2 linked regions of the Rattus norvegicus genome follow. The protein of the gene in region 1 interacts with the protein of each later gene in a biochemical or structural test. Links are inferred from orthologs where the notes say so. Each region holds a gene or a part of one and is shown in the gene's direction. Other genes may lie near its edges.

What was found.
Region 2: of the proteins of Pdgfrb (region 1) and Ptprj, one has a biochemical effect on the other in vitro, tested with the Homo sapiens proteins (2 studies listed by IntAct). The link is inferred for Rattus norvegicus from reciprocal best matches to the Homo sapiens genes PDGFRB and PTPRJ.

What each region holds. Positions count from the first base shown.
Region 1 is NC_086036.1:56,794,261-56,797,914, forward strand, and holds part of Pdgfrb (platelet-derived growth factor receptor beta precursor), read left to right. Parts: intron 1-21; coding exon 22-145; intron 146-642; coding exon 643-854; intron 855-3,029; coding exon 3,030-3,124; intron 3,125-3,654. UniProt on the Homo sapiens protein: Tyrosine-protein kinase that acts as a cell-surface receptor for homodimeric PDGFB and PDGFD and for heterodimers formed by PDGFA and PDGFB, and plays an essential role in the regulation of embryonic development, cell proliferation, survival, differentiation, chemotaxis and migration.
Region 2 is NC_086021.1:96,864,418-96,867,757, reverse strand, and holds part of Ptprj (receptor-type tyrosine-protein phosphatase eta isoform 2 precursor), read left to right. Parts: intron 1-2,225; coding exon 2,226-2,384; 3' UTR 2,385-3,340. UniProt on the Homo sapiens protein: Tyrosine phosphatase which dephosphorylates or contributes to the dephosphorylation of CTNND1, FLT3, PDGFRB, MET, KDR, LYN, SRC, MAPK1, MAPK3, EGFR, TJP1, OCLN, PIK3R1 and PIK3R2. Plays a role in cell adhesion, migration, proliferation and differentiation.

The sequences.
Region 1 (3,654 bases):
CTGACCCTGTACTCTGTCCAGTCCCTGTCCGTGTACTGGAGCTGAGTGAGAGTCATCCTGCCAATGGGGAGCAGATACTCCGCTGTCGGGGCCGGGGCATGCCTCAGCCAAATGTCACCTGGTCTACCTGCAGAGACCTCAAAAGGTGAGCACACCTTGAGGCCAGGCCTCCCAGAGTATATGCAGCTGCCTAGAATGCTCCTTTAGGGTAATCTAGACCGGCCTCTTCACCTGAGAGGTCCAGGCCACATCTTTGATCATTCCTCTGCCTTCCGGGAGATACCTAACCCACATTTCTCCTTTTCTTACCTTGATCCTGAGCCATCCTCAACCTAGGAAGGTGCAGGGTCTGGCCCCCAGAGGTGTCTAGTTCACCCAGTGGATATGCGGGGATTGCCTCTCTATCCTTAACACGTTGAGTAACCTTGAGTCAAATGAGTGAATTTTGCCATTCAGGAGTCTCAGTTCTGGACTGGGAGCGCCCCCTGCTGGCCCATCTAGGCAGCACAGTAGGAATCTGCTTAAAGAGCAAGCAAAGAAATCAAACGTTTCTACCACCATTCACAGTCTTACTTTCCCCCACCATTTGCAGAGAGGAAGCTAAGAGAGTCTGCAAGCCAGTCCTTTTGTGTCTCCTGGCAGGTGTCCGCGAAAACTGTCACCCACACCCTTGGGGAATAGTTCCAAGGAGGAGAGCCAGCTAGAAACGAACGTGACTTTCTGGGAGGAAGATCAGGAATATGAGGTGGTGAGCACGCTGCGCCTGCGTCACGTGGACCAGCCACTGTCAGTGCGCTGTATGCTGCAGAACTCGATGGGCAGAGATTCACAAGAGGTCACCGTGGTACCACACTGTGAGTGCCCTAGCTGCGGATGGCTCTGATGAGCTCTCACCCCTTCCTTGATCCCACCTCACTGAGTCCGAGTTCCCAAAGCAGATCAAGTCAGCATACTCAGAAGAATGTTACAAAGTCTACCAGAGTAGGTTCCTAGGTGCGCACACGAAATGTGACATTGACACAAGTGCACAAACACAACTTTATACACCACAAACACGAAACACATTGACATTTAGGTGTAGAAAGTGAAACTGGCACGCGAGATGCATGCTGTAAACTTGCATGAGCCGGTTGATACTGGGAGTCAGGCGTACACTCTTCACGGGCACGCCGTCTGCGCCGAGGAGGCTTTGTCTCCAGAGTATATGCGTGTTAGCATCTACTCAAGCATACCCAGTGCTGTTCGTGGATGTGAAACTGCAGAATATATTTTTGTGAGCCGTGCGTATGAGACCAGCCAGATCTAATATATCAAATGCTGAAAGATGAGTGGGGATTAGCTAGCTCGTGAGGGCTGTGGAAAAGCCTAGCATAGGCTCTGTGTGGGTTCTGAGGAGTTGAAGCAAATGAGCCCGGATGCAGGGCACACTGTATGTGGATTTGGAGTAGGGGAGGGATTAGGGAGGGAAGTGGTAAAGAATGGGGCTACAGGATGCAGAATACAGCTACAAGATACAGGATACAGGATACAGCTGCAAAGAGTATTTCGTAGACAATCAAACACAGACCCATGCACACTGCGCATATACCTGAAAACAGAGACATGCACACACCCACGCAGGTGTACACACACAGAGGCTTCCGCAGGCTTGTACATGTCTGCTTATGTACATGCCTGTCACCTGCCCTTAGAGGAAGGGTGAGCTTTTAAAGCATCCTTACTGGGACTGCAGAGATGGCTCAGAGGTTAAGTGCACTTGCTGCTCTTCCAGAGGCTCTGAGTTCCGTTCCCAGCACCCACATCAGGCAGCTCACAACCACCTGTAGCTCCAGATCCCGTGGATCTACAGCCTTCTTCTGACCTCTGTGAGCATCCACATGTGTGGCATTCTGTCATACAAATGCTCACATATATACACACAAAAATATATAAGATATGTGTTCATTGCTTTAGGCATCGCAGATTTCTTTGCACTTGCACTGCCAAGCATATAGTCCTTACGGTCTAGGTGTTAGAAAAATTAAGTGCCCTTATTCCCCCATATTCTCATCTATGCACACAGGTAGACTAGCTCTGGGCCCGAGTAAATGCAGAGGAAAAGTCATGTGTGACGCCTGCACAGGACGCCATGTGCTATTACACGGAGACCCAGCTATTACACGGAGACCCAGGATGACTCTGATGGGTCTCTGGAGAGTGCAGGCTTCCTTTGTAAGACCAGGATGTAGGGATGTAGGGAAGAGAGAACAGAAATGTCAGCCAGTGACCCTGAGAAGGAAAAGATGGGGCTAAGCCAGAGGAAGGCTCCCTGGGGAACAGAGGAGGGCAGGAAGAAGCAAATTCCCAGAGCACAACAGCTCCTGCTAAGTGGGAGAGGACAGGGGATGGGGGTTCAGCCAGGCTGACTAGGGAGGTGATGTAAACAGTGAGGCTGAAGTCTTGGGCTAGAGAGGACTCAGGGCTCAGGGAGACCTGCATGTTCACCTCAGGGCCCCGGGAGGTGCATACTGACTGTGCCACACACACTAGTGGTCCCCAGGCTGGGGCTGGGAGGAACAGACTTCTGGTGGTGGATTATTCAGGCTGCTGAAGTTCAGAGTCAGCTCCTTCGGGAGTCACTCGGTGAGTGCCTCAGCCATTTGGTTAGGAATGGCTCTTAAATCTATGACCCAGGAATGACTGCCCAATAGGGCATGGACTCAGAGAAGAGGGGGTCGTGGCCTGGTCCCCAGAGTGCCTAATGCTGTGAGAGGCATAGGTCATTCTCAGGAACCAGAAGAGAGTTCCCCAGCCTAGCTGGATGTTGCAGAAGCCAGCCTGAGCCTGACTGTCATCTGAGGGGAGTCACTGAGGGGCCCTGGGCTTGTAGGAAAGACCAGAGTGTAGGCCCTGAGGTCAGATATCTAGGCAGTAAGAGCTCACGTGCTCAGCAGAGCAAGTCCAACGGATCTGTGATGCTCCCAGCAAGATGGGGAAAGCAGCTACCCAGATACTGTTTGCTTATGGCCTACTCTGGTCTTTGTCCTCAGCCTTGCCTTTCAAAGTGGTGGTGATCTCAGCCATCTTGGCCTTGGTGGTCCTTACTGTCATCTCTCTCATCATCCTCATCATGCTGTGGCAGAGGGTAAGCCTGTGTATGGGTGCAGAGTGGTACCCATATTTCCTCACGGTCTCCACTGTATGTTACACAATCCAGCCCATAGGAAAGGCACAACACAGAGTTCAGCCTGGAGCTGACTTAGAGCGTTGCTGGGTCTCCAGCTCCCTCAGTCCTTACTGGGCTGACGTGATCAGTCCAGGACTCTTGCCCCTGCTCTTTCCTCTGCCTCAGTCCTTCCCGCTCAACTCAGTCCTGGTGCAAATGGTGCATTGTGGGTGGACTATCATGGCCCCAAGATTCTTTCAGCTCTAACCCATAGAGACTGCCATGAGTCACAAGAATGCAATCTGACCCCAGGATTCTGTTCTGACGCTCTATTCTGACATTTCCCCTTTCTGTAACTCCAAACACTTAAGATTCCGGAATTGGGACTCTAGTCCCCCTTCATCCTGTCATTATAAGATTCCAATCCTGTGACTCCAAGATCCTAAGATTTCCACATCCAAAGGCTGTGTCCTTTTGAGACCCCACAGAGACAGAGTAGGCATTTGGAA
Region 2 (3,340 bases), on another chromosome or scaffold:
AGCACATTGCCGCTGAGGTGGAAATGCTACTTATGCGCGCCCAGCCTTGCAGAAGCTAAAGAACTGGTTATCAGAGCTACACCAGGATGACTGGGCAGAAAATGTGTGCTCAGGATCTACTGCAGTGTGTGGAAAGCTGTTGGATTTGCCCTTCCTGATGTGTTCCTTGTGAACTTTGAATCTGAGGCTGATTCTTATCAGAGTGTGTCAGGAAGTGGCTTCCAGGGGTGGATATTCCAGGCCAAGATGAGAGCAGAATATTCACGTCTCAGGCTGTTACTCGGTACCAAGTTAGAAACTTAGGACTATGCTGTGTCTGCGTCTAGCAGGGTATGTTAGAGGGCTGGGCACACTGTGTGTTTTGGGTGAGATCCATGATTGTTGGAGAAAGAATGAAGATTTGCGTCCATGTTAGATTTTCATTTTTTTGCTACAGTTTTATAGAACGAGAAGAACAGAAGTCTCATTATCTGTCTGTGGCTTCTTCTCTCATCTCTGTGTGCATGCACGCATGTATGCGTGTGTGTGTGTGTGTGTGTTTGTGTGTTTGTGTCACTCGTGCACAGAGAGAGAGACAGAGAGAGACAGAGAGTCAGAGAGAGACAGAGGGACAGGGAGACAGAGAGGCAGAGAGACAGAGAGACAGAGAGAGAGGATTACTTTTCGACTTTATTCAGTGATGCTGGTTCTCACAAACACAGAACTTGAAAGCACGGCTAGTCTAGCTAGCTGGCTTGATCTGAGGTCACTCTGTCTTCAGAGGCCACACCCACTCAGCGTTTTCACGGTTTGTGGATCTGCTGTTTAGTCCTCCTCTGTGGCCAATGCTTTAACTTCTGATCTACCTCTCCCGATCACTTTTTCATATTTCAAAAATAATATATTAAAAATTACCACTATAGGACTTCACAGAATTTTTTTTTTCCCCTAACCCAACTTCTTAGGCTCTAGGACCTAGAGGAAGGCCTTAATTACCTTTAGTATGTGTAGTGGTTTGGAGTCCCCACCTCCCCAGGCTAATATGTTTAGTCACCAGGCAGTGGCGCTTCTTTGAAAGGTCGTAGACCTTCAGGGAGCAGAGCCTTGCTGGAAGAAGTGGATCCCTATGGGTGGGCCTTAAGGTTTCATACCCGGGTTCCATTTCCTGTCTGCCCTCTGCTTCCTGACTGTAGATGCAGTGTGACCAGCTGCCCGAGGCTCCTGCCACCATCTCTTTTCAGCTGTGGTGGGCCCTGTCTGTTTTGCTGTGAGCCAAAAGAAGCCCCTCTTCCCTTAAGTTCCTTCTTGTGTTTGGTCAGAGCAGCAAGAGATGGAACTTGCCCAGCAGGTGGCGCTATAGAACCCTTTGAGTTTGCGCATGCGTACGTGTATAGACTAGTTTGAAAAGAGTGGATGCTTGTTCATGAGGTTTTCTTTTATGGCACCTAGTGTCTTTCTGCATCAGCACGTGCTTCCTCTATTTAAACAGCGACCTGCAGATTCTGATGCTCTTGTATTAGTTACTTTTTTGAAAAAAGCAATTGCTGTGCGGAAGTTTATTTTGCCTCATAGTTTGGGGTACAGTCCGACACAGTGTACCAGTGTCTCTAACTGTGGCAGCAGGATGACGCTGGTCACATTTTGTCTGCAGTAAGGCCATAGAAAGGTGACTGTTGGTGCTCAACCCCCTTCCCTCTCACTTGCCGCAAACCTCAGCCCCTTGTTCAGGAGGGACGGCAGTCCCTCATCAGCTGACCTTCTCCTGAAATGACCTCCTAACTCACCCAGAGGAGTGTCTCCTAGGTGATTCTCAATTTCATCCAGGGGACAACAAGGATTAGTTATCAAGCTTCCCTGAAGCGTGGTCCCCACTCAGGTTCACCTGATATCTTTTAACCCTTTTCATCTTTAGAGAATCTTTCTGGCTTCCTCGCACTCCACACTGACCCACCGTATCTATGCTCTATTTCCTCTGCAACTCCATCTCACTCTCTCCAAGGTTTCCTCGATCAGGAAAAGTGAGGGCGCCCCCTCCGGATAAGCATCACTGGTAATGAAGGCTGCGTTATGTGGTTTTGGATTTCACTAGGATGTTCTTAGATCACTGCGTCTTAATTTGGATGCGTTTGCTGTTGGACTGGTGGGGTTTGGGGGGTGACATGGTGATTATTTGTCTAAACATCATCTCGTGTTCTCATTCCAGGGGCTGGTGCTTATTCTTCTCTCTCACTTTCTTTTGTCACCAGGACCAGTATGTTTTCCTCAATCAGTGTGTGTTGGATATTATCAGAGCCCAGAAAGACTCAAAAGTTGACCTCATCTATCAGAACACAACCGCAATGACAATCTATGAAAACCTCGAGCCAGTGAGCATGTTTGGAAAGACTAATGGTTACATCGCCTAGTTCCAAAGCAAACCCTTCTGAAGCTAACCAGACCGTCACACCCACAGTGAAGGAGAACGCCCTGACGGGGACATGTTTTATGTGTCTCATTTCTCAATTCTTTGTTCTGTTCTGTTAGAACTACTTGGAGGGCATGGGGCTGTGCATGTAAAACATGGCAGATAGGCAGTTGGGGCTCTCAGGGGCTGTGGGCAGGTGGTGTGTAAATCAGCTGCATTCCTGATTACCAATGGGATGGGTTCGCTTTCTGTTTTTCTTTCCTTGAGAATTGTGGAAAACCAGGAAAAGTGAGCTATGTTTTTGTTTTCCAAGCAGGTTTGTTCTCCTCTCTTTCTATTCCTCCCCCTTCTCTCTCTCCCTCCCCTGCCTCTCTCTGTTTTTTTTTAAGACTTTTATATGATTCACATGCTAAAGCCAGGATTATGTTGGGTTGGATATATTTTAAGTATCAGAGGTCTATTTTTACCTACTGTATCTCGGAATCTAGCCGATGGAAAAGCATGGCTGTGGGTGTTTCTCATGCAGGGAGGGGCACCCGGTGCCTCTTCTGCGTGGGTTTCTATTTGAACATGTGCCTTTTCTGAATTATGCTTCCACGGGCAAAACTCAGTAGATATCTCTATTTTTATATTGAATCTCAGAATTGGAATATACAGAATATTTAAACAGTAGCTTAGTATCAGAGGTTCGCCTCCTCAGTAACATTCCTGTCCCATCCCATTAGAGGAGGCTTTCTCTGCGGCCCGCCCTTGACACACATTTGTGCTCCATGTTCCTTTTCCTTCCTTTCTTTTTTTTTTTCTCCCCTCCCAGTTTTCGCCAAAGAACTTCTGTTGGTGAGATTTTCATCCCATTGGTTGGGTGAGAATAGAAGTTTAAAATATCACCATGAGACTCTCTGTGGGTGGGAGTGGGGAGGAACAGAGGAATCAACATACCATGGTGTGTGCACCCCT